2 linked regions of the Canis lupus familiaris genome follow. The protein of the gene in region 2 binds, or shares a complex with, the protein of the main gene of each other region. Links are inferred from orthologs where the notes say so. Each region holds a gene or a part of one and is shown on either strand. Other genes may lie near its edges. The genes, in order: RAB14 and RAB11FIP1.

Evidence for each region.
Region 1: the proteins of RAB11FIP1 (region 2) and RAB14 are in contact, whole or in part, in a crystal structure (PDB 4D0G), measured with the Homo sapiens proteins. The link is inferred for Canis lupus familiaris from reciprocal best matches to the Homo sapiens genes RAB11FIP1 and RAB14. Residues at the interface, in NP_001002814.2 of Homo sapiens: Glu1252, Ile1255, Asp1256, Asn1257, Leu1259, Val1260, Met1263, Pro1267, Asn1268, Leu1270, Arg1271, Ile1272; in NP_057406.2 of Homo sapiens: Leu28, His29, Ile44, Gly45, Val46, Glu47, Phe48, Gly49, Trp65, Arg72, Arg74, Ala75, Val76, Ser79, Tyr80.

What each region holds. Positions count from the first base shown.
Region 1 is NC_049232.1:74,588,603-74,600,382, forward strand, and holds the start of RAB14 (ras-related protein Rab-14), read right to left. Parts: upstream 6,439-11,780; 5' UTR 6,354-6,438; intron 5,745-6,353; exon of another isoform or gene 5,452-5,744; intron 1-5,451.
Region 2 is NC_049237.1:28,236,525-28,248,213, reverse strand, and holds the start of RAB11FIP1 (rab11 family-interacting protein 1), read right to left. Parts: upstream 7,549-11,689; coding exon 7,172-7,548; intron 1-7,171. UniProt on the Homo sapiens protein: A Rab11 effector protein involved in the endosomal recycling process. Also involved in controlling membrane trafficking along the phagocytic pathway and in phagocytosis. Interaction with RAB14 may function in the process of neurite formation.

The sequences.
Region 1 (11,780 bases), on a different chromosome or scaffold from region 2:
TCTTATACATTTTTAAAGTCAGTTATTTGCACTTTCATACGGCTCAACCCAATAAAGGATATGAAGATTAACAATGTATCAAATGCCTACTATATACTACTCTAGAAGCTAAAATAATGGCCTAAAATTTAATTTAGGATTGTAAAATTTTCAAGTGTATGTATTAGAAGATGTTTAGAAAGATCACAGCCTATCTTTGCCCTCAGATGGACTTAACCTAAATAATTCCAATTTCTTTCTACTTTTAATGACTTAAAAAAAAGAAAAAACTCCCCAGTTTATCCAAATGAATGCCTTAAATGTGTTAGACACTGTGCTAAGTGCTAGAAAAACAAGAGGTAAATTCTAATACTGGTAATAACTTCCAGTAACGTTTATTCTCAAACCAGTTCTCAGCTTAAGATAAAAATTACTCGCATGCTCACACATATATAAAGATTTGACCCCATTTTTAAAAATTTGATTTCCAATATTTTAATCTGATTTTTTCTATCATGGCCAGTTGTCACACTATACAAGCCAGACATTTGATATGATTGCAGAAATTCATTTATTAAGGCTAACAAAATTACTATATAATAAAATTTAACCTATAAAAAAGTATTATTTAAAACAAGTGAATTATTGTTAACAGGAAAGAGAAAGTTGTTAATTACAGTTAAGTATTAGACAATCACTTCACACAATATAATCTTCTCACTTAACTATAAGGATTACATTTAACAAAAGCGGATGCCCTGCTACCTATTCCTGCTTGACATGTAGCACTTTCATAATCAGTCTTCAACATCACTGAAAACTCCCTTAACCAGTTTGTTCAGGAAGGGAGTTTCTCTAGTTAGATTAACTGATTCTGAACACCATCATAATTTTTTTCTCTTTTCCCAGACACTAGGGATGCAAAACTTTTAAGAATGAACTTGGTCCTGAGGCTAAAATTGGTGTGGGTTATTCACCAGATATCCAAACCAGATCCCAAACACAAGGAAAAAAAATAATCTTTCACAATAAAAATGTTAAAGATTATTATGTTCTTCACCTGCATTCTTCCCAGAACCCTATAATTAATTTTTAACTTCTTTTTTAAGCTCCTCTTTTCCCATTCAAACTTGAGGAAAAGGAATTAGTCACCTTAAAATTAGTTTCTTTTATGCTCTTCCTCTTCTGATTTTCCCATTTCCTTTCTCTCTTCTTACCCAAAGCTGTAGCCATACACACTTTTTGCTTCCTTCCATTTTATTATGTTAAAACCAAGGCCTCTAACAATTCTAATTTCTCCTTGAAATGCTCTAAAGGTTAATCATAAAATTATAAGCCAATTCTAGTTGTATTAATTTGTGTACTTGCTAATTACCACAAAAGCATTTATTAAATATCTACAAGATGACTAATTTTAAAACATTTTAAAAAACTGCCAAGCATTAATTAGCATAAACTATTCCCAAATAAAAGACAATGATCACTTTTTCGGAGTAAATACTAGTACCCTGTCTTCACCTCAAAACACAACTTTCTGGTTCAAGTTTCTTAAAAATGAACCCTAAAGGCAAAGTTAAAAGGGAAAGCTACTCAAGTTTAATAATTTCAGTAGACAATGAAAGGCAGAAAATATCTAGCACTGTAGCCACTAACACAACAGGTCCTCCCTCTCTTATTATAAGCTAAGATACTAGCTAGGTTTAAATATACTCCCACAGCTTATTGGTAACATTCACTCAAAATTATGTATTTACATTAAAACTATATTGGAGTTGCCCCTTTTAAATATTAACCAATGCTTAATTAGTATTGTCCTAAAAAAGGATTTCTCAACATCATTTCTTGAACATGAATGAAACATACCACTGTTAAGGTGAGGAATGTACTTTTTACCCAGATTTGAAAGAGGAAAAAAGTTTTCTATTATCTAAGAATGCTTTTTGCTTTACTCAAAAGTCAAAAAAAAAAAAAAGGGGGGGGGGAGAAAGGGGGTAAAAACTGTCGGTCTAGTTCAAATCTCTGAAAACATGAGTTCATTCAACACTAAAATCTCCACTAATTAAAAAACCTTGATAATATTTCATAACTTGTGCACAGCTACTGGTGAAATTAAAATGTGTTTTCCATGTGTTAGAAAAGTATGAAAATAAAATTCATATGCAGATAAGATCTCCTTCAATGCTTCTGGTTTCCTTATGTAAAAAGTACTCCTTGCAGACAATAAGCACCATTAAATACAGATGAACAACCTGCAAACTAGTAAACAATTGTTACAGTTACCATTTATTGAGTACTTAATATACACCAGGGCAATGTGCTAAACATTTTACATGCAATCTCAATTAATCCTTACTACGGCCTTATAAAACAGTGACTATAATCCTCATTTTACAGATGAAGACTCAACAGGTAAGTAACATGTCCAGGTCACACAGCTAAGTGGTCAAGCTTATACTGAACCTAAGACTGTTTTTAACTGCAGAGAACCCCCTCTTATTCACTACACCATCTGGCCTCCTTCATAGTTAAGGGATGCACCATGAAACCCTTTGGTGGTACTTTGGGACACAGACCTTTCTCACTTGGTACTAATATAATACTTCAGTCTTAAAAAATTATATTTAGAGGATATAATCAGGATTTGTAGATATGAATGATAACACTAATTCAAGTTATATCCACTTAAAGTTTCTGAAGGTAACAACATTTGTTTAGAGTAAACCGTGTGATGATCATCAGTACTTTTCCCTTCATATAATTCTTACTTAATTCTCACAACTCTGCAGTCATTATGTCCATGCAAAAACTGAAGAAATTGAAGTTTAGAGAAATTCATTAATTTGGCCTGTGTTACAAAAATAGTAAATGGCAGAGCTGGAATCTGAACCCAGGCCTGACTCCAAAGAACATGATTTTCTCTAAGGCGGGTTATTAAAAGCATATATGTATGTGGACTGATATACATACATATGTAAACTGATAAAACCAAAACAGGGCGCCTGGGTGGCTCAGCAGTTGAGCGTCTGCCTTCGGCTCAGGGCACGATCCCGGGGTCCTGGGATGGAGTCCCATATAGGGCTCCCCACTGACAGCCTGCTTGTCCCTCTGCCTGTGTCTCTGCCTCTTTCAGTGTGTCTCATGAACAAATAAAACTTAAAAAAAAAAAAAAAAAATCAAAGAAAAATGGAAGATAATTACACGAAATATTTAGGGTCAGGCCTTACTATCACTGCATGTAAAACTTAGCACTAAACTTCTTGTCAAGACTAATGATTACTACATGCATACCAAACACTGATGATTGTGGTGTAGTCCCTTTAAATATTAACTATGCCTAATACTCCTTTAACAACGGATTTTTTGAGATTAACATTAAATCTTCAACACAAGAAACACCCTTAAGGTAAGGAATATATTTTAAAATGGGGTATGCTACTGCATCAAACTGCATGTTTTTCACTTAACAAAATCATGGATCCATTTCCAGGCCAATACACAGAGATCTACATGGTTACTAAATACACATTAAAGACAAATCATTGTTGCCCCCAAAATAAAGTCGCATGGTCTCCATATAGTTAGATACATCTCCAAGTGAAATTAAACAGATATATAAATGACTGTATTTGAAATGTGCATGCAGACGAGAAGGTTAAGGACCTTTCATACACTCTGCTTACAAGAGTCTGAATTGCCACATTTTTTTGGGAAGTAAACAATATATTTTAAAATCTTAAAGATAATCCCAATCAACTGTGACCAAGAAGTAGCCTACAGATACAAGATCTTCAATCCATAAGGTTATAGGTCCAACTGCATCTAATGCAGTACTTATACAGCAAACAAAACAAAACCCAAAACCAAAAAAACTGGAAACAATCTATACTTCTATCAACAGGGAAATGACTAAAGTATCATGAAATAACATGCTTCTAGTTTAAAAACCATTCAGAGATGGATAATAAACTTAAAAATATATCCATGATTTTTAAGTGGAAAAAAAAAAGTTGATAGAATTTTATGCAGTGGCATATCCCATTTTTAAACACACACACATACACACACTCTCCCTCAAACCTGTATACAGATAATATGGAAGGATACACACCAAATTGTGAAAAATGAGTATGTGGACTGAGAAGAAAAAGGATAGGGAGAAATTATTAACTTTATATAACTCTATTAACAGTGTAAGCATGTGCTATATTCACTGGTGATATTCTAAAGTATTCAAAGTAGATAAAGAACTATTCTAATACAAAACAAACAAGAATCAACAAAAACAAGCAGCGCCTGGGTGGCCCATTCAGTTAAGTGGTCAACTCTGGACTTTGGCCCAGGTCATCATCTCAGGAGTCGGCTTGAAGATTTTCTCTCCCTCTGCCCCAGCCCCAGCCCCAGCCCTACTCACATGCCTTCAATCTCTCTAGAATAAATATTTTCCAAAAATAAAACAACTCCCATTCATAATAGTTCCAACATTACTTACACATTTACAATAATATGGGGAAATTCATAATAATATGGGGAAAGTCAATCATATGATCGGCCTCAAAAAACACACTCCGAAAATTGACAGCATTTTTTCTTTTTTAATACCTTGGCTTTTACTGTGTTCACTCAGGCACTACGTCTGACTAATCCTCTCACAACCATTAAACGGCTATTTTATTCTACTTCTTAGGACGAACGATGCTACGATGTAATTTTTACATAACTTATTCAAGACAACACAGGACAAAAACAACCCACAAAGATTCCAGGTGATTTACATTCTGATCCTCATTATTAACATTACTAAGCTTGGTTTGGGGTTTTGCTACACGTAAGACATCTCGTTATAGACACAGAACTGGACCGAGCGCCCAAAAGCACTGTGATCCCAACACGGAAATCCTTGTTGAGCATCTGCGAAGCACAGAGTCTGCGTGAGGCTTTGACAAGGCAGGAGCGACCAAGAGGAGCGTCGCGCCCGCCTCCCGGAGACTTAGCGGCGGTCGGACTCGCTAACAGGCTGTGCCGGGGACACAGTGTAGACCGGTGCTGTGCTCGGGGAATCCGAATGCGCGGTCTCAGCAGTAACGCAACCTCGGAGAAGAGCCCACCCATTCTGACCTCCACTTTAAAAAACTCACTCTTGGCAGGACAGTCAATGTCACATCTTTGCATCAACTAATACAAGAAAAAGAGCCGGGTTTCTACTGTGCCACGAGCAGGGCAGTTCTGCCGTCATGGCCGCAGCCTAGGAAGAAAGTGCTTGGGCGCCGCAGCCGTGCTTCAAGGGCAAGAACCAGCCAGGGGCCCGCACCTACTTTACTACAAGCACTAAGAGGGCCAGAAACGGCCAAAGTTTCACTGATGAAACGTGATGTCTGAAGGGAACGGTCCTCAAAGCAACGTGGCGGGGGGGGGGGGGGCGACCCCGACACTCCCGGGACCCCCCCGCACACGCTGGAAGCTACGCCCTCAAGTTCCGAGGCGCAGCCCGTCCGCGCGCAGGCGTGTCTCGGCCGCACCAGACGTCCCGGGCTCCGGCGTCCTGCCTGGGCCGAGGCCGCTCCCGCGGAGCCCTCTCCTACCGCGGTTACGTAAAGACGCTCGCGGCGGGACGGGCCCGGGCTGGGTCGTCAGAAGCAGAGACTTGAAAGACGTCGCTTGAGCCTCAAGAATCTGGGGCCGTTCGGCTTTAGAGGAGCCTCCCGCGGCCTCCCGCGACCGCCTTCCCTCCTCTGCAAGCAACGACTGACCTTACACCCGCCCTGCAGGTGAGGCGGCGAGGCCGGAGGGCGCGGGGGCTCGCGGCGGGGGGCGCCGGGGGCGGGGACGGGGACGCGGACCTCGCAGCCCCCAGCCCGGGCCCGACCGGGCCAAGCGGAGCCGGCGCAGTCGGCAGCCAGGGCCACCGGCGACGGGCTCCCTGCTCCGCCGTCTCCCCTCCAGTCCCAGAAACGCTCAAAACCCACAACTTTTTGTCGCCTTCACGGCGGGCCGACGCCACCCAAGCTCGGCGCCGTCCGGGCCGCCCCGGCCCTCAGCAGCCGCGGCCCTCAGCCTCCCCGGCCCTCAGGGCCCTCACCGCCCCGGCCCTCCGCCGCGGCCCCGCCGACAAGGACACCGAGCCCCGCCGCGCCGGCGAGGCCTCCAGCTGCCGCCTTTGTGCCCGGGCCCACGCGGGCCGGCGCCGGGGCCGGGGCTCCACGTCCGGGCTCGCGGGGGCGGCGGCGGCCGGCCGCACACGCCCTCGCCCGCGCCCTCGCCCGCGCCCCCGCCGCCCCCGCCCCCCGGCCGGCCCGCCCGCGGCGCCCCCGCCCCCGCCCCCCGCCCCCGCGCCAGGCGGCCGCGGCCCGACGGACGCTGCGGAAGGCCCGGCTCACCTGGGGGGTTGCTGGTGGCTGGGCAGCTTTCCGGGCGGGCGGGGGGCGTCAGGACGAGGAAGCGGGCGCGGCGGGCGGCGCGGGCGGGCGGGCGGGCGGGCGGGCGGCCGGGGCCCCGGGGGCGGCGGGCTGGCCGACGAGGTGCAGGCGCGCCGGCGGCAGCGGCGGGGGCGGCGGCGACGGCTCCGCGGCTCCCTCAGGATCTCCTCGGGCAGGTCCAAGATGGCGGCGCTCCCTGCACAGGGTTTCCTGTCACCCTCGCAATGGGCCGGACCACAAAAGAAGCGGGGGGAGGAGGCTGCGCGCGCAGCCGGCGGGGCCCGGAAGACGGCGGCCGGCCCGGCCTGCTGGCCACGCCCCTTCCCCGCCGCGGCCCTCGGGACTCGCCGCGCGGCCGCCGAGACCCGCCCCGCGGGCGGCGGCGCCTGGAGGGGCGGAGGGCGGCGCTTGTGCGCAGGCGCAGCGGCCGGCGCCCGCTTCCCAGGGGCGCTCCTGCGCAGGCGCGCGCGGCACCTGCTGGGGGCGGGCCGGGCCGGGGCGGGGCGGGCCGGGCTCGGCGCTCGGTGGACCCTGCGGCTCCCGGCGCCCCGGCCCCGGCCCCGGCCCCCGCCCCCCCGCCCCCGCCTGCCGGACACGCCCGCGCCGCGCGCCCCACGCCGGGCACAGTCTGCTGCGCCCGCCCGCAGCGGGGCCCGAGGGCACGCGTCCCCGTCCCGCAGCCGCAGGAGGCTCTTGGCCCCATTGTACCGATGGCGAAACTGAGGCTCGCGTCGATCGAGCCGGGGGCCCGGGATCCAGCAGCCGGAACGTGGCGCTTCCCGTTGTGGGTCGCCTCTGCCCTCCGAGGGGCCCTGGGACGCGGGGCCCGAGCACCCCAGCACCCCGGCGCCTCCGGCCTGCCACCCTCCCGGAAGGCCCTGCGCAGCCGGCGGCGGGCGGCCCTCGGGGGACCCCAACGCCCGCCTGTGCCTGCGGAGACGGTTACGGGGATCGCCTGTTCCTGTACTTCTGTGTTCCTATTGTTAGCGTTTTACAGCTACGTTGGCGTGGAGAGGGATGTTTTAATGTCACACCGCACGACACTTTCTTTAACCTGGAAATTCATCTTTCCTTCCTGACTTTCAAAGCACTGAAGACATTTCTGCGGGTCCCCACGAAAGCATCGTGGGCCCCAGGCTCGGTGCTTCCGGTGGCTCAGGTGACGGCCCTGCCTCAGTTTACCCAAAGGAAGCTCAGGCTCTCGGCAGGAGGAGCTTTCAGAAGCTGGCTTTGCCTCGGCGACGGGACACTTCCTTGGAAAACCGTATGGCAGTTCACACATGTCTCATTTTCAGAAAGACCCGGCTGCGAATCCCTGATCTTCCACTTACTGATGACCCACGGCTGGGCACGTCCCTTGATTTCCCAGATCCGCAGTCTTTTCTGCAAAATGAGGATGATGATACCTATCACCCGTGGGTCCTTGTGAGCGTTAAATGAGGTGATATACACAAAGCGCTTGACATACGCGTTTTTAATACGTGGGAATGGCTATTAGGTGATAATCCGATATAAGGTTATGTTGAAATCCCTTCTGGCCCTGGAGGTCTATGCTTCTATTCCTGTATTCTTTATTTTTATTTTTTTAAGATTTTATTTATTTATTTATTTATTTATTTATTTATTTATTTATTCATTCATTCATTCATGAGAGACACAGAGAGAGACACAGGCAGAGGCACAGGCAGAGGGAGAAGCAGGCTCCATGCAGGGAGCCCGACGTGGGACTCCATCCCGGGTCTCCAGGATCACGCCCTGGGCTGAAGGCGGCACTGAACCGCTGGGCCACCAGAGCTGCCCTTCCTGTATTCTTTAATTCCAATAAGCATACTTTGTGCTCATGATTCAACATCTCTGAAATCAAGAAATTTGCAAAGGAAAGAAGGAAGCTGTGAACCATTTGGCATCACTTGTCCAGCTGTGAGCTTAGGTCTGGCCAGAACGTTTCACTATATCCACTTGTCCCCTTGGGTTGAAGACCTTCGTGACTAGCTAATGCTTCTTGCACACTCAGTGTGAAAGAGGAACTGACCTAAGAATCATGTATATTTTCTTATTTAATCTCTGCAACATCCCCGCACAGTCATTTTATGAATGAGAAAACTGGGTGTCACGTAAGTCAAAGACTTTGTAAAATACATAAAACTTGGCAGTGCTGGGAATTCAGGCACATGTGACTCCGGAGCCCCCATCCCCGAAGCACCGTTGTATTCTTTATCCCTTATTTCCTCTTGTAGCAGCTTAAGCGCCAATCCCTGATTGTCGCTTCAGTCTATGTGAAGACACTGCACCGGATGCAGCATCGACAAGCGTTGCCGTGAATGCAGCGTGCCTAGTCCACGCTCAGCAAGTGTTGAGGACTGTAGAAATGGTCGATGCTTGTAATAAGTCACAGAATTTTCAGAGGAGAGATTGTGTGTGACCAATTGCAACATAATTAGAACTGTCCATTGGATGCCTATCAGGGTTTCTAGTTAATTTTTTTTACAATTTTATTTATTTATTCATGAGAGACACAGAGAGAGGCAGAGGCACAGGCAGAGGGAGAAGCAGACCCCATGCAGGGAGCCCGACGCGGGACTCGATCCCGGGACCCCGGGGTCACGCCCTGGGCTGTAGGCGACGCTAAACCGCTGAGCCACCCAGGGATCCCCTAGTTAATTTTTTTTTAAGGCTTCTGCTTATGTGAAAAGAGACGTATAGACGAAATAGCGAGTGCAGCGCTGCTTGTAAAAGACTAGAGACCAACTCTCACCAAAGAGCTGTTGTAATACATTTTAACCTACCCACACCGTGGAGAGTGTGCAGCAATTAAAGACTGAAGCACACATGTGTGTCCTGATATGGAACAGCCTCTAAGAAATACTTCAAATGAAAAAAAAAAACGAGGGAGAAAAGCAAACAGTCTGCCAAGACTTGTTCAACTATGAAAGGGGCACGAATATGTATATGTGTGTAAATGCACATCGAGAGGGGTTTTTCCTGTTGTCCTGAAACTGCTGCTGAAGCCCAGCTCTGAAAACCGAAACGTCCATAAGGAGCCCACTGCCGGTGGTTGGAACTAGCTCTCTCCCAGGAGGACATTTGAGGAGCCATTGTTCGGGAAACCAGCCCTCCTGCCAACCCCTACCTCCACCCTGCTACTCCCCACCTCTTCTCCATTCCCATCCTCTCTCCCCACAGACAAACCATCACCCCTCATCAGTGGGAAAAATGGAGAGTTGAGAGGGAAGTCAGGTTTTAGGAAAGAACAATGCTCTGGAAAGAGGCTCATCCCTCCCTCTCCCTCCGTGGGGGGTGGTATCCCTTCCTAGGGGCGAGGGACGGGGGCTCCACGGGATCACCAGTGGAGCTTGGGCGTGCCTATAGGAAGCGGAGGCTGGCAGCCCCCCAGGTACCCATTTGGCCATTGGACTTACCAATATGCTCTGCCCCATTGTACCCTTGGCAAAGGAAAACACGAGAGCGAGACCACATTGCAGGGGCTTCGGATGGGGAAGGATGGAACCTGCCCCACCAACCCGCTCACACCTGGACTCCTCAGTCCCAGATTGGAGGGCAGCAACGAGGTCGTCCTCCCGGGGTGAGGCATAGATGACACGGGCTAGCAGTCAGCTGGAAGAGAAACGTATGAGGGCTCAGCCGTTCCTGGGGAGATGAGTGGGGCACTCCGGGCACTGGTGCTTTGTCGTGTCTACTCGTTCTTGTTGCATCTCAACCTATTTATATTTTCATAATTTCTTTTGTAAAAATAGATGTTTTCCTATTCTTTTTTTCCAAAGGCTAAAAATCTGAAGTTATTTTCAGATCTGTCTATTGTGTTTATTTAAACCAAATTAGTTCATCTCCTTGTTGGTCTTAAAGGCTTAATTTTATTGGTTAATTTTGCTCATTTATTTTAGGGGTTTTGTTCATAGTTATATCTCGGATAATAGGTTCCCCCCCCACACACACTTACCCTTTTTTGTCTAGTGGTTTTGGAGCTGCCACTATAAACCATAGCCAGATATTAAAATATTGGTATTCCAACTCCTGGGTAATATTGAAGATACAGCAAAACCAACACAATTTATACTCTGAATTTTATTACTGTGTATGTGTGCTACCTAATTAGAGAACCTAATGTATTTTTTTAAGATTTTTAAAATTTATTTATTCATGAGAGACACACAGAAAGAGGCAGAGACACTGGCAGAGGGAGAAGCAGGCTCCCGGTAGGGAGCCCAATGTGGGACTTGATCCCAGGATCCAGGGTCACCCCTGAGCTAGAGACAGACGGTCAACCACTGAGACCCAGAATTTAATGTATTTTTAAGTGTAGTTGGTTGCTCTCTAGTGATACATAATTCAGTTAAGTAAAAACAAGCGAATAATAAAAAAATACTACTACATCGATCAATAACAATTGATAAACTTCAAAATTTAGCAGGTTGACAGAGAAGTAAAAATCAAGTACATAAGACTCGTTAGTTTCTGGGTAGGAGAAAGGAGTAGATGCAAATTCATAATACAAAAAAAGAAAATGATGCATAAATGTAAGGATAAGTATGTGTTCTACTCAATGGTAAAAGAAATGTTGTGACCATTAAAATAGCTCCCCTTCCAACATACCCATCCACCTTATACCAGTCGCCCCAAAATATAATCCTCGGACGTCACAGCTTTATTAGGGCGTGACTTCTAGAGTCAACAACAACGAACTTACATAAGGTGAAAAGTATGCTTGAAATTTCCCAGGAAAGCTCCGCACTAGAGACTGACTTACCCTCTCTTAGTTTTCCTCTAGCGTCAGATCTGATAGCCGTGGCTCTGGCTGACCACCTGAAGAGGCGGGTGGTTTAGAGTGGGAGCCGGGTTACCGGAGAAAACCTGCATCTTTGAACTTCAGACTCACACTCTGTGGCTAAGTGACCATGCTGTGAGCTCTACTAAAAAATAACAGATTTACCTCTTTTTTTTTTTTTAAAGATTTATTTATTTATTCATGATAGACATAGAGAGAGAGAAAGAGGCAGAGACACAGGAGGAGGGAGAAGCAGGCTCCATGCACCAGAAGCCTGACGTGGGATTCGATCCCGGGTCTCCAGGATCGCGCCCTGGGCCAAAGGCAGGCGCTAAACCGCTGAGCCACCCAGGGATCCCCCAGATTTACCTCTTTAATCAGAGACAGACTGGTATTTTAAATTTTCTTTATTTCTTCGCTGACCTTTACATTTTGTTGAAATAATGTAAGTTAAAAGCACGTGCGATGTGACACAAGTGTATCAGACTGGTGGTGACTGTCACCATGGCTCGAATTTGGCAGGTGCTGTCAAGAACTGGGATTTTACCCCAGTTGCAAGCTAAAAATGTGGCCTAACACGGTTTCCTTTTGTTGTTGTTTTTTTA
Region 2 (11,689 bases):
GATAAGTCCCAAGAAGGAGAGGGGAAAAAAACCCCACATTTTAAAATCCTGATTTAACAACTGATGATTAGCAAAAATGAGAAGTGCCATTAGGTACAAGGAAAACCCCACCAGACCTGTGCTGGAGGAAGCAACACCCCCAAAGTCACATCCCAGGACCCAGTCGCCCTGGGGCCCTCCGCACAGGACACCCATTCTTCAAGATTACAAGGGGCCTTTTCAGACCAGGCTTTTTGGAAGCCTTAATTGTTCCACCTAGTTTAGCCATGTCCTTTCTCATAAAAGAGTATTTTAAAAGTGAAGTGTGCAGCAGCCGCGCCCCTAGAAACATTTTTCTGGGATTTCTTATAAATGCCTCCCCTCTCCTGCATTCAAAGGCCAGCATTCAGGAAAGGACACTTAATTACCACTGCCTTTTTTCTCTCCACAGGCACATTCCTCAATGTGTCCCTCGGGGACACCCTGGAGACTAAAATCCTTGCTTTTTTTCTAACAGATTATCTACAGACTTCTCCCTGCAGGAAAGGAATTTCTCATCTCATTAGGAGCTGAGAGCAGCTCTTTTGCCAAAGGCATCCCTAGCAGAAGGTAACCTGCTTCTTCGGTGTTAAGGCACTGGAAAACATGCCACGGCCCAAACTGAGAAATCTGAAAGAAGCAGAGCTCTGACTTCATACCCCAGACCCCCTCGTCTTTAATCTACCAGGCTGAATGTAAGATTAAATGCTTTTCCGCATCCACACTGGCAAACAACTGCCTGTCCTGTGCCCACGGGGACCTCAGCCATTCGTTCACTCACACATGTTATGAGGTGCTGCATCAGGTCACATAGCAAAAAACAAGACCAAAGTGGTCCCTGGCCAAGGGAGAGGCAGGCGAAGCTAGGCCTGGTCCCCTGAGCCAGCTGGGGCACCAGATCTGACTCAGGACACCTTAAGAGGAGTGGTTCTCAAACAAATGATCTTGGCGGTGAACTGATTTTCTTCAAAAGACCAATACAGGGTTGGCTGGGGTGTTGATTTTGTTGGAATTCAAAGGCCCCCCGAGGCTTAGAGATCTGCACAAGACTCAGAATCAAAGACCACCCAAGGGATGGCTCAGGGATGAAGATAAGGCCTCTTATCACTTTCTCCGTTAGGCTAGGGCTTCTTAATCCTTCTGGAACTAAGCCACAGTGAGTGAGTGTAGAGCACAGAGCATGGTTTTCTAGGATGTATGGCAACTAAAATAATAGTATTTTAATGGATATCTAAGATTACTGTTAAGGGGGAAAAGAATAAGTTTAGCAAATCGATTCTGGAGCGGACATTTTAATAGCACGTGTATTGCTTTTAACATAATTATAACATTTTTTAGTTAATCACTACAATTAAAATGACACATCAGATACGATTTACAAAAACTTCCCTCTGACGGTAGTTAGGTAGTTACAGAAACACAATAGAGGTCTTTGTAACCAAAAGGAAGTTTAAGCAAAATGAAAAAGGCACAAGACTCCTTTGTACACTTACCTTCCCTAATGTGAAAAACACGTAAAGGGTTGACTTACTTGCCTCCAGAGTTTTATATTTCACTTATGGGTTTATTTTTCCTAATGTTATATATGATTTTTCTTCCTTTTTTAAGTCCTGTACTCCTTGAAGCAGTGACTCCATCAGCTGTGTTAGAGCCACCATTTAGATTTCATCAGCTACATAAACGATTACAAAACAAAGACTTGGCCTGTATTAAAACTGTAAATACTTGGGGAGACACACACACACACACACACACACACCCTGATTTCAGTAACGTTTCCTACTAATTCATTCCAATAGAAGATTTGACTCACAGGTGTCACTGCCCAAAGCTGTCTTTGTAATGGTGACCTCACTCTCGTATCACAGTGGCTGCTAGGGGAAAGAAAAGTGCCACCACTTCCTGGTTCATTTTCAACAGCAAGCTCTCCTTATTTTATTAGTTCATTTTCATCACTTCCTCTCTCTCACCCCCACCCACCAATCCATCAACAAACCAGGCCAACTGAACCTCCAAAATAATTCTGAAACCTACCACCTCTGTCTACCACATGGCCATCACCCTAGTGCAAGCCGCCACCATCAGTAGCCTAGATTAGTGCAACGGCCTCTCATTTTGTCGGATTCCAGGCTAGGGCTGCTTCAAATCCATTCTCTACCCAACAGCCACAGTGATTTTTGACTATTCCAGATCACAACACCCCTCTGCTTTTAATACTCAGTGACTTCCCATTGCTCTTAAATGAAGCCCTGCCTTCCTCTTCAGCCACAATCTACACAGTCTCTGCAGCTTCCCAGGTATTCCCACCTCAGGGTCTTTGCACAGGCTTCTCCCTCTACCTCAAGTTCCCTTCCTCTACTTTTCACCAGAAAAATCTGTTCGTGCTTCAGGTTCCTGCCTCCAAGAAGTTATGTGCCATCTCCTTCTTCAAGTCATATCCTTCCAGATCTATCCTCTATGACACCTGTTCTCTTCCTCTACTTATCACAATATATGATTATTTATTTATGGGTTCATCCATTTAAGGTCTATCTTCCCTACAGGGCTCTGAGCTTCCTGAAAGCAAGGATCAAGTCTGTTTTGGTCACTATTGTTTACACCTTAGTGCTGGGCACATAGTAGGTATTAAAAAATATTTACTAAAAATATAAGAAGGAGAGCTTACCATTTGCAACAGCATGGGATGGGCCTAGTAGAGGCTAAGTCTAGTAAGACAGAGCAAGACAAATACCATACAATTTCACTTATATGTGGAACCTAAAGACCAAAACAAATAGCAGAAATGGATTCATCAAGACAGAGAACAAAGAGGACGGTTGTCAGGGAGAAGGAAGTGGAGGGATGGGCAAAATGGGCAAAAGGGAGTGGGAGGCTCAGGCTTCTAGTTATGGAATGAGTAAGACGCGGGGATGAAAGGCACAGCATAGGGAACAGTCAGTGGTACTGTAATAGCATTGTACGGTGACAGATGGCAGTTACACTGATGGTGAGCACAACATGACGTACAGCACCGTCATATCACTATGTTGTACACCTGAAACCAATGCGATATTGCGTGTCAACTATACTTCAATTTTTAAAACGTACTATATATATACTTTTAAAGACAAAAGAAAAGGCAGTTGAAACTTTCCCCAAGCTAACTGAATGTCCTACAGATGAAATCATAATCAAATAAGACCATGAGGGAACATCTTTCACATCACCAGAACAGTGACTCTAAAGCACCCTCCTTCTTCGAAGTCACTGCATCCCGTGGCTATACACAGGTTAGGGTTACTTCTCCCAGAGCTGACCGAGAACTCAGGCTCCCAGCCTAAGCTATCATTTTCCTACACAGGAGTGGGAGGGGCCCCGGGAGAGGCAGGAGGATTTCTCCCCAGTGAGGCCCAATTTAATTTTAAGGAGAATCCCAAGAAAGGGAAAACCTAAGCGGTAACATTGTGCCAATTTTCCAATTTGTTACAAAAAAAAACAAAAAACAAAAACAACAACAACAAAAAAACCTAAATGCACTTCAGAAACTTGACAGTAGAAGCACCAAAACTGACTGCTTATTTATCTCTCGGCTCATCTAAATCGTTTCTCTGCATCCGACTCTTCCAGAAAAACAACTATTGAGTCCTTATTTCTTTTTTTTTTTTATTTCTTTTTAATAACCCAGATTTCCTTTTACAATTTAACTACAGCATCTTACTAACACAATTCTTCAAAATCTCTAACTTTATTAATAACCAGATCCTTTTATATGCAACCAAATTCCCTCTTGCATCTTTAAGAGATGTAAGAAAATGACTCTCCATCACTCACTCTCTCATCATGGCTGGAAGACTATTACAGCATTAAGTTTCATGATGTTAGTTACACAGTGGCCTTAGGGTCATCAGACTGAATGGATGTTTATTTTAATCAGTCCTGAACAGATTATTTCCCTATATTTTGTTGCTCTTCATATCCCAGAAAGTTTTTTTCCCCTTATGTCTAGGATCCCAAACTACATGAGACTAGAGAGCTGAGCAGAGAATCCTACATGGTTGGTCACCTTATGATTATAAGACTTTAACTGGTTCTCATTTAACCAAGACCCAACTATGACCTCAGATCTTTAAGAAGCAAGAATATGTGCAAAATTAATGCATTTCCATTTCCTCTTAATGATAAGGGTCATGTACTCTTCTCTATTTTTTTAAAAGATTTTATTTATTTATTCATGAGAGACACAGAGAGAGAGAGAGAGAGAGAGAGAGGCAGAGGCACAGGCAGAGGGAGAAGCAGACTCCATGTAGGGAGTCCGACGTGGGACTCGATTCCGGGACTCCAGGATCATGCCCTGGGCCGAAGGCAGGCACTAAACCACCGAGCCATTCAGGGATCCCCGTACTCTTCTCTATTAAAAGTATCCTACCTATATGTCAGCCTCTATTTGGTGTTTTGTTTTGTTTTTTTAAGATTTTTAATTTATTTATTCATGAGAAACAGAGAGACAGAGACACAGGCAGAGAGAGAAGCAGGCTCCATGCAGGGAGCCCAACGCGGAACTTGATTCCGGGACTCCAGAATCATGCCCTAGGCTGAAGGCAGGTGCTAAACCACTGAGCCACCCAGGGATCCCGTTTGGTGTTTTAAAGATGTGTCATCACACTAAATTTGAGGTCTGCAAAATTTGAGTCACGAAAAGCATAGTTCTCTTGCCTTCAAATGTATGATAGATGAGGGCTTATCAAGAGAACAAAGGGAAATTCTAGCACAGTTAGCTGTTAACGTCTTGAGTTTCTAGACTCTTCTTTGCTCAAGATTAACACACATGCATGCGTACACACAAATAAACCTAGAGACCAAAATTCAAGCTTTTGTTTGTTGCTGGTGTTTAATATCTAACATGGAGTCAAACCATTAATAACTAGTTCAAATGACTTTCCTAGCCTAACTAGTTTCTTTCTGGTAAACTTCTGCCTCTCAGTATATATCTCACTCTCCAAATCTCAGCTATCTTGAGCACCCAAGTGATGTACCAGGGCAGCAGAGAGGCTTGGTTTAACTAGGTTCCCTGGCACCTTGGAAAGTCCCAGGAAGCAGCAGATGGAAAGCTTGCAATTCCACGGGCTGCTAAGGGGGCCAAAGGAGACTTCCTTTGCAGTTATGGAAACACACATACCAACTAAGCATCACTTTCCTACAGGTTGATACTGTGACTAAGTAGTAATCAGCTCATACAATAGAGACGGGAGTAACAATGTAGGTTTAGGATTACATTGGAGAGGAAGACAAATGAAGATGCTGGAACCCTTCCTGAAATAGAGATCTTAAGGAGGCTGTCATTTCTCACAAAGCAGTAAAAGAACCTTTTGAGCTGTACACAGGCCCCAGTAATCCAGGAACCAGAAACATCTTATAAATATCAATTAAGCCTGGCAACAAGCTCCATGCATAAATAGGGAAATTTGGGTGTTTAGAGACCGAGCAGCCCGAAGCCTAACAATGAGTCAGGACCAGAGTGGGCACCAGAACCAGGAATCTGGAATCCTCATCTCTGGCTGGTACAGGAGATCTATCTTTCAAGGGAATAAAATGTTCACATGAGAAACAGCAGAAACAGATGATAATATCCGTGCATCTTGGGATGGAACAAGACAAAGGATGGCCAAATGGCACCCAGTTGAACTTGGAAAGGAAGCCAAGCCAAGGCCCCAAATGTTATTTAATCAAATGGAAAATTAGCATTGTTTCAGCGCCTCCTTAGCAAAGACTCTGCTCACCTTATGGCTTGTAAGTTAATGCCAAGAGATACCCTATCCATCCTCACCTCAAGGCGCTCTATTTTATCTGATTTGAATTCAGAAATGCCTATTCATCTTTGGCCAGATAAGTGAATCAGGTATTGCATTTGCAAGCATGCAAGCTGAAATTGGACCCACGATGCAGACAAGGGAGTCTGGTAACTTCCAACCCTCTGGCTTTTCCCATCCGCTTCACAAAGGAAGGTTAAAACCCCATTTATATCTAAAGCACCCAATGTGAATCCATGTGCTTCGCAAACAGTAGGAGATGTGGTAATATGACTGACTTGCATGTTTAAGGTCCAGCAAAGTAACCAATTAAGCTAAGGAGGCCAGCTTTTGGTACAGTACTCGAGCATAATCAAATGTTACATAATCAAACGTTCCATGGCAAACACCTGCACAAGAGAACAAATAAATGAGTAACACCTTGAAGTGAACTGGGTGAGGCCCAGCTTTCCCTGTGGGAGTGAGATACCCTAGCACACAACTCTAGACTGAGAAGCTACATGTGAGCAGCCATCCATTCAGAGCACGACCAGAGAGAACCTGACAAACTCCCAAAAACAAACAATGCCTACATGGCATGGCTCAGATGCCTCCCAGTTTTGCTCAGCCAAGGACTGACCCCGACTCCAACCAGCACTGGGAAGTCCTTACTGACTTGGGGCTCAAGGCAAACATGCCTAATAGTTTTCAGACTGGAAGTTAGGACCAAACCGTTCTAGCATCCTTTGGGGGGCGGGGATGGGGGTGGGAGGAGAAAAGGGGAAGAGAAAGAAGCAAATTCTCTTCACTAGCCATCTCTGGGCGGCCGGCACTCCCTAGTCCTCAGCCTCCACCCCGCAACGTCCGTGAGTGAGCCTCTAGGGCCAGAGTGTCTGCGGGTTCACCCTCCACCGGATCTTCTTCCCTGAGCCCGGGCCCACACGTTCGCAGCTCCAGGTCCAGGACAGTGAAATACCCAGGAAATGCCCAGGAGATCCGTATCCGACAACCACACCACCCACACTAGTAAGAAGAATTCGTCAGCCCACAAGTATCTTCCATTCATCAGAAATTCATTAAGTGCTTACTAAGTTCCGGGCGCTGAGCGACGTCGCGCAGATGCAGACACCCCAGGTGCTGGTGCTCCCCACCCCCGCCCCTCACGCGGGCCTCAAGGGAGCGCGCACCCGGGCAGGGCGGCGCGGGACGGCCTGGAGAAGCTGAAGCTAAGTGAGAAGGCCGCCGTCGCCCGGGAGAGCCCTGTCCCAAGGCCTCTCTCGGCCCGTGCCCCCGGGACACGGCGGCACGGTGACCGCCACGCCCGCTCTAGAAGGCTCTCGGCGCCCAGCCGCACGGCCCCCCGCCCCCCGCCCCCGGCGCGCGCTCACTGGGTCTTCCTGCGGCCCTGGTCCCGGTGCAGCTCCCGCAGATCCACCTCGGCCCGGCCCAGGAACTTGTCGAGGCCGAGCAGCGCGCGGTGCAGCACGGTGAGCTGCAAGGTGGCGGCGGCGGCGGGCGCGGCCCCGGCGGACAGCAGCGGCGGCAGCTCGAAGGTGGCCTCCTCTCGCCACACCGGCGCGCCCAGGCTGCGCTCCGACACCGAGGTGGCGTACTTCTCCTTGCCCACCTGGATCACCGCGTACGCGTCGCTCGTGCCCCCGGGGCCCTTGGCCCGCAGGCCCCGCGCCTGCAGCACCGTCACCTGCACGTGCGTCGGGGACCACACGGCCCCCGGGCCCCGGCCCGCCGAGGCCGCCAGAGACATGGTGACGGCGCCGCTGGGGATCGGAGAGGCCGGGAAGGTGGCGGCGCCCGGCCGGCTCTGCGGCCCGCCCCGCCGCCGCGGCCCCTTTAAGGCTTCCGGCCCCGCCCCCGCCCCGCCCCGCCCCGCCCCGCCCTCCGGGCCCGGGCCGCCCCGCCCCGCCCCGCCCCCGCCGCCCCGCCTCACCTGCCGCTCCCCACCCGGCCTCTGCGGCTCAGGCCCGAGAGTCCCGGGCGGGGGCCGGGAGCGGGGGCTCGGGGGATGCTGGAGCGAGAGGTGCTGGTACGGGACCAGGTCGCACGAGCCCGACCTCACTTCCAGGCTGGCCCCGCCAACGGGCGGGCGTGTGACTCGGCATGCATTGCTTCTCATCTTTTGGTCTCAGTGTCCTCACCCATAAAGTGAGATAACCATCACCTCGTGCAACTGCTTTAAAAATGATAACGTAGCCCGGCACATGGTGAGTTCTGGATCAGGAGGTGCCATGAAGGTGACAGTGAGCGCGATCCCACAGTCGCTGCTCTTTTGATCTGGGCCAGCCCGTGGTTTGCTCCGGGGGACTGCGGGAGCTGGGAGGGTGCCGATGGGTGGCGGAAGGAGGAGGATCCTTTGAGGGCCTGAAAAGGGGAAGGTGAGAGGGAAGGGGGCCGGTGATGAGGTGCTGTGGGAGTGTCCTACTTTGCTCTGCTCTCACCAAATAAGGTGAGGCTGAAAGGGTAAATTAGGGAAGAGGAATAAAGGAGGAACTGAAGATAGGGTTGCCAAACCCGGACATCTGGAGACCAGAGGGCCACCCTTGCTCCAGTAGCCCAGAGTCTCTTCCCTGCCCTTTATCCCTGGGGGCTTCCAGTCATTCACTTCCTTCTTCCAGATGTCCCTTGGATGGGCAGTTTCCCTTCATTCCCAGGTCCTGCTGACTGCAGGACTTCACTCACATTTCCCCCCATGGTTTTGCTTCCAGGGGGACCAGGTGGTGACTTGGTTAAGGTGTCTCTTCCATAGCCCCCCGGCAGAAACCTGGGTACATGCACCCCAAGTGCTCAGGAAGTGCTGTGGAAGTGAAGAGAGAGTGTGCAGTTTATTCTGGCCAACCAGGAGCACACAGTGTTTCCTTTTACCCTGGAGGACATTACAAGATGCATTATGCCTCAGGTTTGCAACTGAGGGTGGCTACCATGCGGGAAAGACCTATTCCATACATTGTAAATATGCAATGGTGATAAAAAGGAGGCACCAGACAGGTAAGTGATGGAAAAGCCTAGCAGAGCTCTGTTATTTTGTTGCCATTTCCGTATCTTGACCATCTGTTGATGTCATTCAACCTCATGGCCCCATTCATTACCATAAAAATATATTGAGAACTTACTTGGTACCCAGTATGTGCTAGGAGCTACAGAGGGCACAAAGCCCTAAAACAAGATCCAGTTCTGAGGCACATCATGACAAATGCTATAACGGAAATCCTACACTAACAAAATGCTTTGGGGGTTTTGAGGTTGGAGTGATTTCTCTAAGCAGGTGGATTTTTATGAAGACATTGAGCTGAGCCCTAAAGTAAAGCATATACCAGATTTGACAGGCAGAGAGGGGGTGGTGTGGGGGAAGAGCATTTCAAGGGAGAGAGAACAGAACAGTCTAAGCAGATATAGGAGCCGGAGAGTTCCCAGCATGTTCAGGGGTTAGGAGCACCCCATTGGGGGCCAGAATGTGGGATATCTTTGGAGGGCACTGTGGGTGGATGGTAGGGATAAGACAGCCAAGGTAGGTAGGCCTAGATCACGTAGCTCATGAACACCAGGCTAAGGGGTTTATGCCACAGCGTTAGGCCAGGGTGAGCCAGCCCTCAGAGGATTTTGAGCAGTGGTGTGATGAGGCTGTGCTTCATGCTGTAAGGCAGGTGTGAGCAAAAGTAGCCCAGCAGCCAGCATTGGGGTGGGGGGTCAGAGCTAGATGCCTTCATTTTCACCTGGGGACTATCTGCCTCTGGCCCCACTCTACCACTTATCCATCCTTGGAGTCTGTTCCAAGTTGGAACTGTAGTCAATAAGGCACTTATTCCCCTCCTGGTTTTCCTACCTGTGCACTGCTCCACTACCTCCCTGCTGGACAGAGTCCAAGATTTGGGGTCAAGACTGATCCCCTGTGAGTGAAGTTTTTCAGCTCTCATCTCCTGTCCTCCCCCACACTCACATTGTTCATGCTGCCCCACAGTGAAGATAGCAAGGATTGAAAGCCAGCTGGTCAGCCTCATAGGCTGAGTATGACCCAAAGCATCCCTTCCATTCATGGAAAGGATGAGAGGACAAAGGAAGGGAACAAGGGGGAAGGAAAAACTATAATACCTTGTGACCTCATGTGTTTGGGTTTCTGTCAAACACATATAGGCTCTAAGGTTAAAGCAGAGGTTGTAGATTGGGGGAGGGAAAGGCTGTTCCACCACCCACAGGAAATCAAGATCCTTCCAGACACTGGACACTTGCAGAGGTTAACTCAGAGGAGTGGGGCTCATGAGAGGCAGGAATTGGAAATACGTCAGGGTAGAGAGAAGCCAGGAGCTAGAGCACAGGATGTACTTGATGCTAAATGGCTTGGTGGCTGTTTTCTCCCTTCCTCCAGCCAGAGCTCTTTGTCCCTCAAAACTCATTTGCTGACCCCCCGGGAGTAAGTCTGTTGTCTTCCAATTTTATAGCCCTACAGTCCAGGATGGGAGGTGTGCAGGTGCAATGACAAGGACCACGAGAGGGCTGGTGCTCCACTGTGCCCTGTTCCCCACCTGCCCTCAGCAGAATCCACCTGGGCATCCCTTCCACCCTCTCCCACAGGCCAGGCCGTCCTGGGGCAGCTGACCCCTCGCAGGTTCACTGCATTCCAGGAGTGTTTATAAACACCTCCTACAGCCAGGGTGTGGTGAGTTGACTTCTCATTCCTCTCACTGGCCCGCCTCTAGCCCTGACTGAAAGAGGAGAAGAGTTTCTGTTGGCCCTGAGCACGTGGGCAAGGTGCCTGGCAGGTTGGACTGGACAGATTAGCCACCTCGCCTCCTCCCAAAGCAGTAGAGTGTGCCTGGACTCCCAGACACCAGCTGTGCAGTTAGATGACCAGTGCAGATTTGCTGTTAGGAGCAACCAAGAAGTCTCCCAGGAAAAGACATAGTATAGAGCCGTGCTGGGAGTGGGGAGGAAGGGCAAGCAGAATGAGAGATGTTTGCCACCCTACCACTGCCAATCACTCCTGCCCGCTGCTCCTCAGTACATCCCCAACTGCAAGAGATCTAACCAACAGACACCCCCACCCCGGGCAGAGGGGACACGTGGGTGGCTCATTCAGTTAAGCCTCTGACTCTTGGTTTCAGCTCAGGTCATGATCTCAGAGTCATGAGATCAAGCCCTGCATGAGGCTCCACACTCAGTGTGAGTCTGCTTATCCTTCTCCCCCTGCTCGTTCGTGCTCTCTCTCTCTCTCTCACTCTCTCTAAAAAAAAATCACCTCTGGGGACTCGGAATGGACTAGTGTGCTGTCCTAAGGGAGGAGAAGAAAGAGGCTGGTAATGGTTGCTTGTCTTTCTCCTTTGCCTTGCACTCTGGGGTGTGGTGACAAACGTCCACACACATGACTCATTCACTGGAGCCCTTGGTAAACAGCCTTCTGGCTTCCCCAGGTCCAGCTGCCTCAGACTCTCACCCACTTGGCTGACCAAGGAGACTACTTTCCAGATGTCGGCTCTGGGTGCTAGGGGGCTTCTGCCTCAGGGATCACGAGCCAGGGGAGCAAGCCCCCAACACCAGGCTCTCTTTCCATTGCCCCAGGGGGTGTGGCAATGTGGAAGTTAAAACTATAGCCACACTGGGGTGTCTGGGTAGCTCAGTTGGTTAAGCATCCAATTCCTGGTTTCTGCTCAAGTCCTGATCTCATGGATTGGGGGATCAAGCCTGGTGATGGGCTCCACGATCAGTGGGGAGTCTGCTGCAGATTCTTTTCCCCTGCACCTCCTCCACCACACGTGCACATTCTCTCTCAGACTTTCAAATAAATCTAAAAACAAAAAACTAAACAAAACGAAACAACTATAGCCACACAGGACAAAGGATGGTCTCAAAAGCAAATGGCTACGTTTCCCCCTTTGCCCCTATTACTTTGTTTAACA